Saccharomyces cerevisiae S288C: one gene and its partners. Changing the gene in region 3 together with the main gene of any one other region gives a genetic interaction. Each region holds a gene or a part of one and is shown on either strand. Other genes may lie near its edges.

Region 1 (4,827 bases), on a different chromosome or scaffold from region 3:
ATTTGCTTTTAAGTATGCGCCGCACTTGGCTACCACGATGGGTATCCGACCAAAACTCACCAACTCACTTTGAACAATGACCTCTGCACTGGCGACGCTCAACGATTCTGCTAAAGTAACACCGAAAACCCTACCTGTGAAACCATTTCTATTAGATAAAAACATATCTCTGTAATTTTTGAACTCTGCGTGAGGCGATGTTCCGGAATTAGCGTTGTTATTGTTATTGTTCTGTTTCGCGGATTTGGAAAAGGATTTCCTATCTTTGGTTGGGGTATTATATGAATATGGTCTTGAAGATAATGGAGGCCGTTTTAAAGTAGTTGGTTGAGCATTCCTTGAAAGAGAAGTTGGTGATCTAGGGACTGTAATATTTTCGGATGACATACTCTTAGGGTTGTTTATGAACTGCTTCCAAAAACTTGGGACATGACCTTTAGAGGGAGAAACATTTTCAATTTTGGAGCCTTGTTTAAGAGTATTATTTGGCATTATAAAGATATTTTTAGTTTATCTTAGTGGTATTGAGAGGATGAAAGTAAGACCAAAGCAGGAATCAAATTGGAAGCTCGAAAGCAAACTTGTGAAGGCTAATTTCTCTGCCCCTCTACTTTAGAAAAAAATTGCTGTGAAATGAGAACGGCTTTTTGAACACTGCAATATAACTTTCTGGAGAAAATTTGTTCTGATAACTTTGTGATGCGTGAAAGCTTAAGAGATCAAAAATATGTGGAGTTTTCAAGTCACTAGTGAATAAAACCAGTGGAATGGGTAAAAAAATTTTTTGTAACGGGCCTGCTATTCTAGGAAACCTAACGAAGACTTTATCAATTTGTTTTTCCTCTTCTGAGATCGTCCGATCAAGCCTAACAGTTTCGCGAGTAAAAAGGATGATTTCTTCTAAATTTAGTATTAAAGTAATGAATGCGTACACCCTGCTTGAAGATGTTGTGCAATGTAGCTCAGTTTCTTCCGCGCCAGGCCACTAGTCTTGCTTTTTTCCTGTTTGTCAGCACCGGTTTCCCAACTGGGCTGTGTCATCGACAAGACAGAGATGGTGTTTTATAAAAGAGAAAGGAGACTGAGGAACGTCGTTTTAGGAAGACTAGGCGAGGTGAGCGAGAAAACTGATTTCCCCATATGGTAGGCTTTGTACCATATTGGGAAGGTGGCAGCCCTATTGGGAACGCGCTCCTTCCCTTTTGGGATATTGTCAGTAGGGTAATATGCTCGCCGCATGCCCGTAATAGATAGACTCAAACGATACTTTGTTGGTGGAAGGATGAATTACCCTATATAGTATTTAAATTAAGAAACATTACAATAAAAGAAAAAGGTAATGGTAACATCTCACAATAGAAGGTAATGAATACAGAGGGATGCAGGGGCCTCCTCTAGTTCTTGTTGAGTTGCACGTAGTTCCCAGGAAACACACCTTGCTGGCCATTGTATCTTCCTGTCCACCATTCGTTCACGTCCGGAGTACGCTGGACAATTTCTATAACTGCGCCGGCAGGGAAAGACAAATCACCAGCAGCTTGAGCTTGGTAGTCATACAATGCGGTAACAGTTTCAACGCCAGGAGCTGCCGCTACGGCCGCGGCTGGTGTGCCCGCAACAGGTGATGTTAGAGGATTAGAGTAGGCCGGTGGTGGTCCCTGTTGCTGCTGTGGTGATTGTTGGAAGCCTAGCCCAGTGAGCGGTGGAGATTGCGCAGCAGCATACTGTGGATAAGTACCCGGAACAGCGCCAGCAGCAGCACCAGCAGCAGTACCAACAGCAGCAGCAGTACCAACGGCGGCAGCAGTACCATACTGGGCAGCAGGTTGAGCGGCGTAACTTGGTGCTGCGGCACCATAACCGTATCCTGTAGGGGTTGGAGAAGTGGCAGTTGCTGGATCATACCCAGCACCATATCCGACACCGCTTGATGCGCCACTGACGGGTGAGCCTTCGGCGGTTGCTACACCATACTTCCTTCTGGTCATCTCCAATTTTGCCTTAGAGTAACCGAGTTTAAAGTGTGTAATAGTCAAGGCGTCCGTTTGTTCTTCCACATTGCCTTTCTTGGCAATGTACGACTCTACAATGTCACTGTTCAAATCAAAATATGGAATCTTCATGTCTTGAAGTCTATTATACAAAGTGTAAAAAATGTTCAATTGCATGAAATAAAATGAGACAAATAATGGTTTCACAAATTCAGCTTCCAAACTGAACAGTATTGGTAATTGAGTCTTTAGCAAGTCGTTATAGTAATCATATTCTTGTTGAGCCACTTCCACTTGAGCTTGTGCTTTATACAATCTTTCTTCGTCTTTGGCGGTTGGTTCCTTCTTCTTTTCATGCTTGTTATAAGTGTTTAGATGTCTATCTAAATCTAATTTTTTGTGATTTCTCTTGGTGGCCATTTTACGAATATAAGTAATAATCTTCAACAGTTCCTGGCATGGCGTAACAATTTTTTCTTCCACCAAAGCCAGATCCGGTTTCAATGTTTCCTGTAATTCTGCGACAATTGCCCTATACTGTTCACTTGCTTCAATACCTTGTGGGTTGTCCTCTGGTATGGTAGCGTTAGGGTCACTCATTTTACCACTGATAGGTTTGAAAATTTCCTCCATGGATTTGGCAAATCCAATTTGGTGTGTCAGCATTCCATTCACCGCAGTCGAGTATCTCTTCGATTCCTCACTTAATTTTTTTGTCTCCTGCTCCAATTCTTGAAAACGACGTTCTGCATCCTCGTAAACAGGATCCTCTGTCTGCTCACCCATCTTGAACTTTTGACGGAAGGACTGAGGAGCCCTACTAACAGCCTTGGTAAACCCTTTAAAACTCATGTGCACTTATTGGCTCCTTGATTCTTGGTGTTAAATGACCAGGTGAGCCTCACTTTACTTTATTCCTTAAAACAGGTTGTTAAACATCGACACTACAAAGCCCTCTCCTTTTTTTTTTCCGGTACCAATATTATCGCAACATCCGAACATCGGTCGGATTGATAATTTAGTCAGGTAGACTACCATAGCAACTGGAAGGTATACATAACAAAATTTCCATACGAAAGGAACTTCTTGAACTATATACAACCTTATATGTGCAACTGTAGCGTGCACTTATAGTCCATGGTCAAAAAGTATCTTTTCTCAGTAGAAAACAAAAGCGTACAGGCAAGCGACAGGAAAGTCAAAACTTGATAGAGGTATGTCTACAGATGAAAGTGAAGACGTTTATTCTGATCTGTATTCCATTATCTCCCAGGTAACATCCAATACTGCCAATGACATCGAGCAACTCCCATATGCTTTAACGTTCAAAACGTCGTTAATCTTCGTTGGTGCTACCATTGGTGGGCTTTTATTCGGCTATGATACTGGTGTTATATCAGGTGTTCTGCTTTCTTTAAAGCCCGAAGATCTATCTTTGGTAGTTTTAACGGATGTTCAGAAGGAGCTGATAACTTCCAGTACAAGCGTCGGATCATTTTTTGGCTCTATTCTGGCATTTCCTTTAGCAGATAGGTATGGAAGAAGAATTACTCTCGCAATCTGCTGTTCAATTTTTATCCTAGCTGCAATTGGAATGGCTATAGCAAGAACATTGACGTTTTTGATTTGTGGGAGATTGCTGGTTGGGATCGCTGTTGGAGTGTCTGCCCAGTGCGTCCCTCTATTTCTGAGTGAAATTTCACCTTCCAGAATCAGGGGTTTTATGTTGACATTGAACATTATTGCCATCACTGGAGGTCAATTGGTTTCCTATGTGATTGCGTCCCTTATGAAAGAGATTGATAATTCATGGAGATATTTGTTCGCACTTTCTGCTATTCCAGCTATTCTGTTCCTTTCAATACTGGATTTTATCCCTGAATCGCCACGATGGTCCATTTCCAAGGGAGACATTCTATATACCAGGGATTCTCTAAGAATGCTATATCCTACTGCATCTACATATCATGTGAATAGTAAAATTAAGCAGCTGATAATTGAACTCGATAAGTTACGACTATACGAAGATGCAAGTGAACCTTTACTAGTACAGTCCCAATCGGTTATTCGATACATGGATAGTTCAACCTCAGGAACTCTTAGCCCACCTAACATTAAAAGACTTTCCTCGAACACAGAAAGAACTAGCAACACAATGTCCTCCTCATCAGCATATCTATCGGCGTTGCGAGGCCCAGCTCCAAACGGTGCCCTGGCATCTAACAAAAAGAAAAGACACAGAATGGAGCCACGCACAATAAGAGCGTTAATAGTAGGTTGCATGTTAATGTTTTTCCAGCAAATCACTGGCTTTAATGCTTTTATGTACTATGCGGCAATAATATTTTCCAAATTTAATATAAAAAACCCTCTACTGCCTCCAATTTTGATTGCCTCAACGAACTTCATATTCACTTTTTTCGCCATGTACACCATGGACTCTTTGGGAAGAAGAGCCATTCTTTTGAGAACAATTTTGATTATGACTGTTGGGTTACTTCTTTGCAGTGTAGGTTTCGGTCATGACCAAGTCAATTTACTTTTAATTTCTGTTGTAATTTATGTTGCAGCATATGCTTCTGCGATGGGCAGCGTTCCATGGACCTGTGTGGAATTTCTCCCCTTGAACAGGAGATCATTTGGGGCATCATGTATAGCCTGCACAAATTGGTTGACCAATGCATTTGTTTCAATGACATATCTGAGCACTATTAACACCATTGGTGATGAAAATACAATGCTCATTTTTGCTTTTTTCACAGTTTGTGCCTGGTTTTTCGTATATTTTTGGTATCCAGAAGTCAAAGGTTTGTCACTGGAAGAGGTTGGAAGGGTT
Region 2 (3,977 bases), on a different chromosome or scaffold from region 3:
TAGAGCTAGAGGATGTTGAAGAACCAGATGAAATCGTTGGACTGATAGTGGAAACAGTAGAAGTAGAAACCAATGAGTTTGTTTGAGTAGCACTAACTTGTTCTGAAGCTGACACCGTTGAAACCTCTGTTATCTTTTCAGTAGTGGAAGAAACGACGGAATTAGCTAAAGTAATCGGATATACCCTTGTAGTAGTATATGAAATCGTTTTAACCACAACCCTTGCCGGCGCAAGAGTCTTTGTGTAGACAGCATAACTGTAAACAATACCATCAGAAGTAATAAGTTTGACTGTTTCCCCATTGCTGTTGGCTTCAATTAAGGTGAATAAAAAGAATAAGATATTGAAAATTGTAGAAAAATTAAATTTCATTTCTTTGTAATTTGTTAAAGGAGTGGCTTTATTTCTACTCTGTGAAAGAGATCTGTGTTAAAAAATATTAAGGAATGACTGTGGTTAGCTCTACTGAAGAGTTACAATAAAATGTAGTAAGGAATGACTAGAGTTAGCTTAAAACCCGAAAATATAATTCAAAAAATAATAACGCTTGAGGGAGTGGCTTTAGTTGGAATTGAAACAGTATATTCTTTGTTTCAGGCTCGCTGTCTACTTAATGGAAGTCGATATTGCTGGTTTACTTGAAGTTTTTCAATAGACATCGAATAAGCAGAAGAGGAAGAATGAATGAAACATTAGATAAGTTTCCTCTTATATACCGAGTATGAGTTAACGAGTTTCCTGTCATCTTTTGGGAGAACTTTTTACATTAACAGGCAACCAAGACATTGCTGGTTCTTTTATGTTTTGTTTTTCCAATTTAAACGAATGAATTACTGGTTCTTATTTTATTCAAACGATTTTCCAGATAATCTATCCCCTTTCTTCTAAGATATTCCTACAACTATCAAGCATTGTTCACAGTTCTCTTTTTTTTTTTCAGAATACATTATTTACTTTTCGCAAAGTATTTGTTTACATTCGGGCAGAACTGTAAACAGAAAAGAGACCAGCGGAAAGGCCTAAACCCGCAGCGTTGCGAAAATAAGATGATGCTTTTCGTAGAACCCTCTCATGGAAAAGTAGTCATGAACATATGAGCGACTTTAAAACATTGGAAACAGATTAAGAAGTTTTGTTTTCAATTGACTAAAGAAGGATAATTTGTCATCTTACTTAATAAACTACGGGAACGACCATCACGTTTCTTTTATGGATATGGTTGTTTCCGCTGATAAAAGAAGTCACTACGCTGATTGACTGTCAAAGTGTACACAAGCCGTTAAAACGTGGAAACGGCTACTTTCACTCTTTGGTTTGTCATAGTCCTGCTTATTACATTAAACTAATAGTATACACCTATTTTCTATATATGGTAATAGAAAAAAGAAGCATTTCACATAAATCCATTATCATACACCACGTCACCGTCCTTGCTAACACTTACACCAAATTCCAAGTCGTCGTCGGTAGTCATATCCCAAGTCTTGTAAACCATCATTAATGTGAACACATTACAGATGCTTCCAAAAAAGAGGCCATCTAAGTAGTGCTTGAACCCTTCACAAATTTGTGTAGAGAAGGCATAAACCAATACCTGGCCTGCTACAAAGAAAAATAGCCCCAAAAAGATAGCTCCTGTGACCCATAAGTTTCGAACTACCAATAGGGATACCAGTAATTGACAAATAACGAAAACGAATAAGAAAATGGCGTTTATTATGTAAACGACGACAATCATCCCTGAAGCGTTCATTGTTGCTACTTTATGGTCGGTGATCCATGCTTTGAAGGTTAAAATAGAGGCTAAAAAATTGGCTATGAATCCTAGCATGGACGTTCCACGGACCAACAGCATGGACTTTGTAGTCCCATCTTCCCATAAATTGAAACCTAAAAACCCGATTATCAATAAGGCCCAGCAACATGCACCCGCCAGTCCTATTTGTATAGCCACGAAGTATGGATATGACCCAGAGCCGGGGGGAGATACACCACAGTCTACCACCAAGGTAAATATTATCAATAGCAATGTTAGTTGGAAAAAGTAGAGATATTCAGACCTGCCAATAGCAGTATACTTCTGTCTTATGTTATAAAGTATGATTAAAATGACACCTAGAGCACCAATATTTATGAATGCGTTCCCGACATCAAAGATGACTGTATTGGCAAGATCAATCGACCGAGCATAACAGCGTGGCAGTACACCGACATTCAAATTTAAAGGATCAAAATCATGTATAATTGTTGAGTTCGAAAGTATTAGATGGGTTTTAGACTTTATTACCGAACATAATGGCAACGGGGTCTTTGAGCATATGGCAGCAAAATCACTAAATGCCATATTATATATATATCAGCTTTTGTATTAACAAAACCACAATTTTTGATAATAGTTTTGATGAAATAAACTTTCCACGTGGAGACAGCTTTGAAAAAACAGTTCAAAGTATGCCAGTGTAGCTTTGACTTTTTTTAATCTTTTTAGTTAAGTTATGCAATATGCTATTTTTATACCAAAATGGATCCTTTTTGATTTCGTGTCTTGTGAAACTTTTTCAATATTTAACCGTTTTAAGAAAGCGAAGCGGGCAACACCAGAAGAATGTCAATAACTTACTGTAACAACATAAAACATGGCATTTTAAATAGTACTGCCAAAATTTAATGCAATGGCAATTAGTTGGCTATGTTGCTACATATTATTTTCCATAGCATTCTCTGTCACAAACTTCAAAATAAAAGACAGTGACATCCGAACATCCGATACACCCATACATCATGAAAATAAATCCTGACATTGGAAGAAGTCTTGATACAAAAAAAGATCGCTGTCAAAAATGCGGCCAGACTGCCGCTGCATCGTACCAACAGTGCGTATGTTCAGACGGAGAGACGACCTCTAGAGAGACGTCCGTCGGTGCGGCAACGCTGACGGTTTAGTTGTTCGACGGGATGATGGGTTCCGCCAGGGGGAGGGAAGGCTTTCCACCAAGAGAGGTAAAATTATTCGTCGAAATGAACTCAGAGATACATCCATATTGTTGACAATGTATATCTTAATTGATGTGGTATTTTCACTGTTTTAACGTAAATTGAAGGAGATTAAGCAAAAAAACAATCAGTAATAATGGGTATGTGGACGATTAGGAATAGACAAACCATGTTATTTATCTCCATTAGGGCGTGAGAGTGTAATTAGTACACAGGTACTACTAGAATGCTAAAGAACTTTTTAAAATATCCTGAATCGTAGGGCAAATCCATGTCAAGCAAGAAACTAATAGTTATTAAACTTCATTTACTTTTGAGCTAGTTAAATATTTTCATCATTTCCTAAAGTACTGAACACCTGAATGATACTTTTATTGGCCCTTTTAATAAGAACTCTGGTTAGAAAATATATTGAGGATATCATTAGTAATACTCATTAGATATTTGTGAATTTAGCCGTTTCCCCATTACAGAAAAAAGATACAACTAATTACATGTGCAGTCAAATTACTTTTTTTTTAAGATCAATTACTAACAATCAACTATCATGCTAAATTTGCTGTGATATCATTTTGAACCAGTTAACGTCCCAAAGACCAGAAAGACCTACTGTAAGGGTAAGACCTGTCGTAAGCACACTCAACACAAGGTTACTCAATACAAAGCTGGTAAGGCTTCCTTGTTCGCTCAAGGTAAGAGACGTTATGACCGTAAACAATCTGGTTTCGGTGGTCAAACCAAGCCTGTTTTCCACAAGAAAGCTAAGACTACCAAGAAGGTTGTTTTGAGATTGGAATGTGTCAAATGTAAGACTAGAGCCCAATTAACCTTGAAGAGATGTAAGCACTTCGAATTGGGTGGTGAAAAGAAGCAAAAGGGTCAAGCTTTGCAATTCTGAGAGTTGTTATTGTTTATTGTTTTATTATATTTTTATAGTTATACTTTGACCATTAACTTTTTGTAAATTTTGCATACTTAACTC
Region 3 (10,208 bases):
ATAAATGGACTAAGGATCTGGGTTGTTGGTCGTTATATAAATAATAAGCTTATACCCCTTCCTTTGGACAAGTTTTTTCCCTCATAATTACGTCTATATTTTATAAATATCATTGTAGTATTCGCATTGTTTAAGTGGTTACCATTTGAAACGACTCATACAGACAAGCGGTTACAGATGAAGCTTTCTGAAGGCACAGATCAGAAGTATTTTAATGTCGGTTGTCTATTAGTGGAACCAAAGTGACTACACACCTCCTCTGTCTGGAAGAAATAAATTCTTAGGGTCGACTCCACCATTTCAACTTTAGTATAATATGACAATAAAACATTATTGGGACTGAGAACGATTATATTAAAATTAGTAAAATACATACATAACTACTTATAAAAAAAAAAAGAGAAATTTGCCATTTTCACGAGTATAAGCACAGATTGTACGAAACTATTTCATATAGCTTGTTTTAGTTATTATCCTATAAAATCTTAAAATACATTAATCTAGAATCCAAACGGATTTGATGCAGTAGCATTGAATATGTTGGCTTGCCTTGATTGTTGAGGTCCATTACCAAACCCAAATCCAGTAGGTTGGTTCTGTAATGCTTGTTGTTGTGGTTGTTGCATAGCACCCCCAGTGTTAAAAGTGTTCATCATCTGTGGTTGTTGCATAATTCCATCGGTGTTGAATGTGTTCATCATCTGTGGTTGTTGCATAGCACCACCAGTATTGAAAGTAGTCATCATTTGGAGCTCTTGCATAACACCACCAGTATTGAAGGTATTCATCGTTTGTGGTTGCTGTTGTTGAAGAACGCCCCCTGTACTTAAAGTATTCATGGCTCCACCAGTGAACTGGTTCTGGTTTAATGGCGCAATACCTCCGGTTTTTTGTAAAGTCAAACCGAATTGGGATTGCGGCCGGAACCCGCCAGTGTTTTGAGCTTGAGAGCTGAACGAAGTCTGGGGAATCATGGCGCCTCCAGTATTAAATGTATTCAAAGCACCACCAGTTCTCTGCAAAGGCATCATTGCTCCCCCTGTAACTTGTGGTAAAGCATTGAAGGACGTTTGAGGCATCATTGCTCCTCCAGTAATTTGTGGTACAGCATTGAAGGATGTTTGAGGCATCATGGCACTCCCTGTATTTTGAGGTTGGGTCATCATTGCACCACCTGTTAATTGCTGTGAAACGCCAAATGATGTTTGTGGAATCATAGTGCCGCCTGTTCTTTGTACAGTTGGCATTGAGACACCAGTATTAGCTGAAATTAATCCATTAGCAGTTTTTTGGACAGGTAATATTGAACCTGTTGGAAGTTGTTGTTGCCCCTGAACATTGAATGAAGTTTGCGGGAATTGCGCACCTCCTGTGGTGGCAATTGGTATTAGGCCACCTCCAGTTTTTTGCAGAGGTAAGACGGTAGCTGCTGCGCCGAACGTAGTTTGTGGCATCATTGCGCCGCCAGTGTTAGAGATAGGAATTAACCCATTTCCTGTCTTTTGAACAGGTAGGATACCACCAGTAACTTGCGATTGCATACCAAAAGTTGTTTGTGGTACAACGAAGCCGCCGGTTCTTTGCATAGGCAGCATATCGCCCCCAGTAATCATTGGCATCATCACAAAGCCAGTAGATAAGGGTAAGATATTGTTGCCACCGGTTTTGAATGGATCCAATGGAGCGGGAGCAGATGAAACCGGAGCAGATGAAACCGGAGCAGCAGGAACAGTGGTGCCGCCAGTTTTCACGGGTTCCAAATCTTTTAGGTTTGGTTCAGGTGTCGAGGCAGCTGCCTTTTTAGGTTCTAAAGGTTGCAAGTCTAATAAATCCTGCATGGAACCAGTAAATTCTGATTTCTTAGAGAGTAAATTAGATTCAGACTTAGAAGCCGGTTTAACAGTCCAAGCATCATCTGTCTCAGCTGATGTGGAAGGAGCTGTTTGAGCAGGACTTGTTGTTTGTGGCAACAATTGCTGAGGCAGTGAGGTTTCCGGACTTGTAGCAACGTTCAATGAACCATCAGGTTGTGAAAACATATTTCCAGTGGCATTTGTAGGAATTGATGCAATATTTTCTCTTCCAAATTTCTTGTCAAGATGTTTCATTACTCTAACAATATCACCTTCGCGCAGACCCAAGGTTCTTAACATTGAGTTATTGATGTCAGGCATCATGTCTTCAGTAAGCTGTTCTCTATCAAAATTTATTGTATATCTTTGACAATTGCTTACATCAACGCCGCAATTCAAGAAAAATTCGAACCAATCATATTTGTTACTGGAGTTGTTGTTATTGCTGCTTTCGGCTGGTGGTACGGACGTCGTATTTGGAACGGAGGTAGTAGAGGTTGGTCTTGGTGGTTTTATTGGAGGCAATTCCTTTTCTTGCAACCTTGATCTTTCTTCATCTAGGAGTTCTCTGGCTTTTTTCAATTCGTATAATTCACGCTCTTTCAATCTCCTATCGCGTTCTTTTTCCTCCTGCTCCTTCAATCTCCTTCTTCTTTCTCTTTCAGAGTCTCTTGAATCAGTGCCACGGGAACTAGACCCATCATTCGCCTTAAATTTCTCTAAGGAGAACCCAGTAATTTTTTCCACATACGCTAAATCTTCATTGGATAGTTTATCAGCGGCGACAGCAATCTTGACACCATTAGCCTTGTGCAAGTGGATTTTCCCCTTAGCACATCCAATGAATTCTGCATCCACTTTGAAAGTACCACTTCTATCAACCCATAGACGCGATTTTTTTGGATTGGGGAAATCTTTGGTCGCCGAAGAGTTTTTTTTGTGAGAGGACAATGAACTTTTTCTTGACCTTTTACCGGCAGCACTACCTACAACATCGTTTTGTAGTTCATCATCTTTCCAACTGGCATTGGCATTGGATTTAGATCTTGATCTAGATCTCGACCTAGATGGAGATTTGGTGAAGTTTTTCTTGATAGACTTGATGATACCGCTTGCTGTAGATTCAGTATGTTTTTTGTCACGAACAGGCTCAATAAACTGTGCAGGAACGAGACCGCTTTTCCCTGAATCAACCAGTTGGCACATCCACCAGTCCTTAGATTTTTTATCATCTAAAATGTAGACTTTATCGCCTGATTTTATGGTTAATTCGTCCTGTGATTCAGCCATGAAGTCATATTGAACAATACCTCTCTTTTTGGATTTGGAAGCCATTTCGACTTCTCTCAACCCAGGATCACGGGAAGCACCTTTATATTCACCAATAATGTTCATGATCTCTTCACATGTGGTGGTATTACCAGTGTGTAATTCAAGGCTTCTATATGGATCAACAAATTCCAAGAACATGTGTTTCTTTTCGTTATCATAAGAGACCAATTTATCAATTGACCACTCATGAGGAGTCCCCTTTTGGGGTATGAAGTTTATCTTGTTGTTACCGATTGATAGCTTGGCCTTCTTCTTTTTCCTTCCCTCGATTTCGGTAACGTTCCAAGAGTGATACTCTGTATTGTATTCGTGATTTCCAACGTTGTTGCTGTTGCTGTTGTAATAGTAATCATCCTCTTCATCGTCATTATCGTTATCGCTGTATGATAGTCTTGTACGAGATCGAACAGCCGCAGCGGTGGCATCAGTAGTTTCGGTAGTAGCCGTTGGTCTTGCAGGCATGGCAGGAGGAGGGCCCTCTTCATCCTCATCTGGAGCTTGGTCTTCTTTACTTTGCATCATACGAGCTCTATCATTGTGTTGAGGAGGTGGTAAAAAGTTGGTGGGTAGTACGGCAGCAGAAGCAGGAGCGGCTGCAGGAGTAGCTGCAGGAGCTTCAGCGGCAGCGGGAGCCTGTTCCTGCTTGGAAGTGGACCCATTCTCTGGTTCGACGTAATTGCCTGGAATGAAGCCGAATTCATTGGAAACGGTAGACTTAACCAACAGCCAATCAGCATCTTTATCATCGAATACATCAAAAACGTCATTTTCATGAAACGTCAATTCTTCATCAGCATTTTGCACCTGTTCATAATCATAAATGGCTCTTACCTTCTTCAAAACAGGAGCTTCTTCAATGTAAGTGGAGGGCACTAGACCCACCGGTTCTTCGCTATCGGAACCAATGACTCTTTTCTTTACTGTCCACCAATCGTCAATGTCTGACTTCTGTAAGAGGTACAACAGATCGTCTTCTTGGATGGCCAGTTCTTCTGGTGTCTGCGGCTCATAGGCATAGACGGCCCTATAGATGCCCAGAAACACAGTCATACTCTAGCTCTTTTGTATATAACACACTCTGTCGCCTTGGCTATGTTACACTATCCCTTCTTTTAGGATTGCAATAGATATACATAGTATATATGCGCTAAATATTCGTTCTGTTTTCGTCTGATGTATCTCGATTTCGCATGAGTGGAAGGAAGCCCCTTTTAGGAATCGTATAGTCACTTTCTACGAAGCAACATTCTACCTCTATCAATTACATGGTTTAATCTACGCAGGCATGTTCTCTAAGTTGAGACCGCCTATGGGAACCTATAAATCGTGATTGACACCGTTTGCATATTATCACTTTTCTTTTCCTTTTAGCCTCGCTATTCCTGGGGCTCTCTATGTGTGATTGGAAGGGTAGAGACAATTGTCCTGCGCCGGCAAGAAAAACATCGTGTGTCTCTAGAGCAGCTTTGCATTCTAATGTGCGGTGGAAATGGTGCGAAAAGTCGACACTTGACAGGGCTTCCAACTGCTGGCGTGGCACATAACTGCCCAGCAGTGAATGGCCTACTTCATACTCCACCTGTGCCGCATCGGCGAGCGACACTTTACCGCCTAGGTAACCATGTACAGCTACTCTTTTGGGCTTGGATACCTTCGCTTTACTATTCTCACTGCCCTCTATGCCCTTGTCGGTAGCATGAGATTGTTGCGTAAGCTGTTGAAGCTCAGTCGCACTGAACACTACCTGGGATGACTTTTCCAGCGCTGAAAGCCCTGCGAGTACGTCATAGTATCCCATATTACTTCCACTCATTCTCAGCTATTCCTTGTTAACACCGTGCTCTGCTGCTTTCAGGTAAAGCCATTATTTCCACGACAACTGCATTTCACTTTTCATTTTCTTCCAGAACAACAGGCGCTGCCCTTGTTTCCGCGGAGCTGCCTCCTCTGCCGCTCGGACTTTCCGCGGAATAATAAATGAACTATCACAGTGAGTCTTAGAATGCAAATATGTAGATACTGTTATAGAATCTCATTAATGTATTTATGTATTTCCTGTGTTTGTGTCTTCAGGAGCCTTCCAAAGCAACCATAGGTCTTAGGCGACAACTGCATCAGCAGTTTTATTAATTTTTTCTTATTGCGTGACCGCAATGAAAGTGAAGAAATCAACTAGATCAAAAGTTTCGACAGCATGTGTCAATTGCAGAAAAAGGAAAATCAAATGCACAGGTAAATATCCATGTACCAACTGCATTTCTTACGATTGTACGTGTGTATTCCTAAAAAAACATTTACCGCAGAAGGAGGATAGTTCCCAGTCTTTGCCTACTACAGCTGTTGCTCCACCCTCTTCCCACGCCAATGTAGAGGCTTCAGCAGATGTACAGCATCTGGACACTGCGATTAAGCTAGATAATCAATATTACTTCAAACTGATGAACGACCTGATACAGACTCCAGTCTCTCCGAGTGCGACGCATGCTCCTGATACTTCCAATAATCCTACTAATGATAATAATATTCTCTTTAAAGATGATTCCAAATATCAAAATCAACTGGTTACGTATCAAAATATTCTGACAAATTTGTACGCTCTGCCGCCTTGTGATGACACTCAGCTCTTGATTGATAAAACGAAGTCGCAGTTGAATAACCTGATTAACAGTTGGAATCCCGAAATAAACTACCCCAAGCTTTCCAGTTTCTCTCCTCGCCCACAAAGATCGATAGAAACGTATCTTTTAACCAACAAGTATAGAAATAAAATACACATGACGAGGTTCTCCTTTTGGACAGACCAAATGGTTAAATCACAAAGTCCAGATTCATTTCTAGCCACCACTCCACTAGTAGATGAAGTATTTGGTCTTTTCTCTCCAATACAGGCTTTTTCACTAAGAGGTATAGGATATTTAATTAAAAAAAATATCGAAAACACGGGTTCATCGATGTTAATAGATACAAAGGAAACTATTTATCTAATATTAAGATTGTTTGATTTGTGTTATGAACATTTGATCCAAGGTTGCATCTCTATTTCTAATCCATTAGAGAACTATCTTCAAAAAATAAAGCAAACTCCTACTACGACGGCATCTGCTAGTTTGCCTACTTCCCCAGCACCTTTATCTAACGATTTAGTCATTTCTGTTATTCATCAACTACCTCAGCCATTTATACAATCGATTACCGGGTTTACGACTACTCAATTGATAGAAAATTTACATGATTCATTTTCGATGTTTCGAATAGTTACTCAAATGTATGCTCAACATAGGAAGCGCTTTGCGGAATTTTTAAACCAAGCTTTCTCCTTGCCCCATCAAGAAAAGAGTGTTTTATTCTCGTCATTCTGCTCATCAGAATATCTTCTATCTACTCTTTGTTACGCATACTACAATGTTACCCTATATCACATGTTGGACATAAACACTTTAGATTACCTAGAGATTTTAGTGTCATTGCTAGAAATCCAAAATGAAATTGATGAGCGTTTTGGATTTGAAAAAATGCTAGAAGTTGCGGTTACATGCTCCACTAAGATGGGATTGTCTCGTTGGGAGTATTATGTTGGAATAGACGAAAATACTGCCGAACGGAGAAGAAAAATATGGTGGAAAATATACAGTCTGGAAAAGCGTTTTTTAACTGATCTTGGTGATTTATCCTTAATAAATGAACATCAAATGAATTGTCTCTTGCCGAAGGATTTCAGGGACATGGGATTCATTAACCATAAAGAATTTTTAACGAAAATTGGTACGTCCTCTTTATCACCGTCATCGCCCAAGCTAAAAAACTTGTCATTGTCCAGGCTTATTGAATATGGTGAGTTAGCGATAGCCCAAATTGTTGGAGATTTTTTTTCAGAGACTCTTTATAATGAGAAATTCACGTCTTTAGAAGTATCCGTTAAACCCACAATTATCAGACAAAAGTTATTGGAGAAAGTTTTTGAGGACATTGAATCTTTTAGGTTAAAATTGGCCAAAATAAAGCTTCACACCTCAAGAGTTTTTCAAGTAGCTCACTGCAAATATCCAGAATATCCAAAAAACGATCTAATTGAAGCAGCTAAATTTGTAAGTTACCATAAAAATACATGGTTCTCCATCTTGGGTGCTGTTAACAATCTTATTGCTAGGCTATCTGAAGATCCAGAGGTGATAACTGAGCAAAGCATGAAATATGCGAATGAAATGTTTCAAGAATGGAGGGAAATTAATCAATTCTTAATACAGGTTGATACTGATTTTATTGTTTGGGCATGTTTGGACTTTTATGAACTGATATTTTTCGTGATGGCTTCAAAATTTTATGTGGAAGACCCGCACATCACTTTAGAGGATGTTATCAACACTTTGAAAGTTTTTAAGAGAATAACTAACATTATTTCTTTTTTTAATAATAATTTGGACGAGAAGGATTATGATTGTCAAACTTTCAGGGAGTTTTCGAGAAGTTCGAGTTTGGTTGCCATATCCATAAGAATCATATTTTTAAAATACTGCTATGCCGAACAAATTGATAGAGCCGAATTCATCGAACGTTTGAAAGAAGTTGAACCGGGTCTAAGTGACCTTTTGCGTGAGTTTTTTGATACCCGCTCTTTTATTTACAGGTACATGTTGAAATCCGTTGAAAAATCAGGCTTTCATTTAATAATTAGAAAAATGTTAGAAAGCGACTATAAATTTTTGTATAGAGACAAATTGGCCACTGGTAATATTCCAGACCAAGGAAATTCAAGCCAAATTTCTCAGTTGTATGACAGTACTGCTCCTTCATACAACAATGCTTCTGCCTCAGCAGCAAACTCACCGTTGAAGTTATCGTCTTTGTTGAACTCTGGAGAGGAATCGTACACTCAAGACGCATCAGAAAATGTTCCATGTAATCTGCGGCATCAAGATCGATCGTTACAACAGACAAAAAGACAACATTCTGCGCCTAGCCAAATAAGCGCTAATGAGAATAATATATACAACTTGGGTACTTTAGAGGAGTTTGTCAGCAGTGGTGACCTGACTGATTTATATCATACTCTGTGGAATGACAATACTTCATATCCCTTCTTATGAAAACGCAAAGAAAATAGGGAAGCAGAGCATAACCATAGTAAATGGGACACTTATAACTCAAGAATTTAATTGACCCCCTACTCATACTGAGGAATGTGGCGTCCTCGTCATTATATGTTCGTAAGCTAATTGGGCGAAACTTTAGTCTGTCCTTTCTGTTCGGTCTTCACATAAGATCAACGATTTCTTCATTAATTTTGGGCGCGCTGTTCAAAAAGGTCCTGGAATGCAGCTGTTCAGTAGATATTATATGTAATTATAGCCTCAACAATTTTTCTTGGATCGATTGGATGAGCTATTCACCCATAGAGGCTGGATTTTCCTTAGTTTGAGAATCTGCGACTCCTTCGCGTCTGACATCGGTCACTACGCTTTCTCTATTCTGCTGCCGTTGCGTTACTTTGATAAATTCATTTCTTTTTTTTTGTAATACAGAAGAATTTCTGGTAAGTTTTTGGCCTGTGCGTGTTCATAAGGGAAAGACATTGCGCATATAGGAAAATGTTAGAAGTTCAACATCGATAAAATGATATTGTGTAGAAACACCGATTCCCTTTTGTAGATTTCTATATCTTTGGGTATGACTTCTAGTATTATCTGTATATCTAATATTATAGTCTCTAACAACAGTGGAATTGTTGGAATAAAAATCCACTATCGTCTATCAACTAATAGTTATATTATCAATATATTATCATATACGGTGTTAAGATGATGACATAAGTTATGAGAAGCTGTCATCGAAGTTAGAGGAAGCTGAAGTGCAAGGATTGATAATGTAATAGGATAATGAAACATATAAAACGGAATGAGGAATAATCGTAATATTAGTATGTAGAAATATAGATTCCATTTTGAGGATTCCTATATCCTTGAGGAGAACTTCTAGTGTATATTCTGTATACCTAATATTATAGCCTTTATCAACAATGGAATCCCAACAATTATCTCAACATTCCCCGATTTTTCATGGTAGCGCCTGTGCTTCGGTTACTTCTAAAGAAGTCCAAACAACTCAAGATCCGTTAGACATTTCAGCTTCCAAAACAGAAGAATGTGAGAAGGTTTCCACTCAGGCTAATTCTCAACAGCCAACAACACCTCCCTCATCTGCTGTTCCAGAGAACCATCATCATGCCTCTCCTCAAGCTGCTCAAGTACCATTGCCACAAAATGGGCCGTACCCACAGCAGCGCATGATGAATACCCAACAAGCCAATATTTCTGGCTGGCCAGTATACGGGCACCCATCCTTGATGCCGTATCCACCTTATCAAATGTCACCTATGTACGCTCCACCTGGGGCACAATCACAGTTTACACAATATCCACAATATGTTGGAACACATTTGAACACCCCGTCACCTGAGTCAGGTAATTCATTTCCTGATTCATCCTCAGCAAAGTCTAATATGACATCCACTAATCAACATGTCAGACCACCGCCAATCTTAACCTCACCTAATGACTTTCTAAATTGGGTTAAAATATACATCAAATTTTTACAAAATTCGAATCTCGGTGATATTATTCCGACAGCAACAAGAAAAGCCGTACGTCAGATGACTGATGACGAACTCACCTTCTTATGTCACACCTTTCAACTATTTGCTCCATCTCAATTCTTACCCCCCTGGGTTAAAGACATCTTATCTGTTGATTATACAGATATCATGAAAATTCTTTCCAAAAGCATTAACAAAATGCAGTCTGATACTCAAGAGGTAAATGACATTACGACCCTAGCAACTTTGCATTATAATGGAAGTACACCTGCAGATGCATTTGAAGCAGAAGTCACAAACATTCTTGACAGACTAAACAACAATGGCATTCCTATCAATAACAAGGTAGCATGCCAATTCATTATGAGAGGTCTATCTGGCGAGTACAAATTTTTACCGTACGCACGTCATCGATGTATACATATGACAGTTGC

The links. A genetic interaction does not mean that the proteins touch.
Region 1: mutations in SLA1 (region 3) and RVS167 are lethal when combined (synthetic lethality), as found in Saccharomyces cerevisiae (5 studies listed by BioGRID, with this or other methods).
Region 2: mutations in SLA1 (region 3) and CHS7 together harm fitness more than expected from each alone (negative genetic interaction), as found in Saccharomyces cerevisiae (6 studies listed by BioGRID, with this or other methods).

The regions. Positions count from the first base shown.
Region 1 is NC_001136.10:1,248,202-1,253,028, reverse strand, and holds RVS167 (amphiphysin), read right to left. Parts: upstream 2,844-4,827; coding exon 1,395-2,843; downstream 1-1,394. Other genes in the region: GTPase-activating protein SAC7, read right to left, coding at 1-492; CIN10 (Cin10p), read left to right, coding at 3,208-4,827. UniProt on the Saccharomyces cerevisiae protein: Component of a cytoskeletal structure that is required for the formation of endocytic vesicles at the plasma membrane level.
Region 2 is NC_001140.6:381,906-385,882, reverse strand, and holds CHS7 (Chs7p), read right to left. Parts: upstream 2,346-3,977; coding exon 1,395-2,345; downstream 1-1,394. Other genes in the region: DSE2 (Dse2p), read right to left, coding at 1-373; 60S ribosomal protein eL42 RPL42B, read left to right, coding at 3,132-3,135, 3,577-3,893. UniProt on the Saccharomyces cerevisiae protein: Chaperone required for the export of the chitin synthase CHS3 from the endoplasmic reticulum.
Region 3 is NC_001134.8:212,132-222,339, forward strand, and holds SLA1 (cytoskeletal protein-binding protein SLA1), read right to left. Parts: upstream 4,236-10,208; coding exon 501-4,235; downstream 1-500. Other genes in the region: HIR1 (Hir1p), read left to right, coding at 1-44; LDB7 (Ldb7p), read right to left, coding at 4,456-4,998; drug-responsive transcription factor PDR3, read left to right, coding at 5,339-8,269; YBL005W-A (gag protein), read left to right, coding at 9,199-10,208. UniProt on the Saccharomyces cerevisiae protein: Component of the PAN1 actin cytoskeleton-regulatory complex required for the internalization of endosomes during actin-coupled endocytosis. The complex links the site of endocytosis to the cell membrane-associated actin cytoskeleton.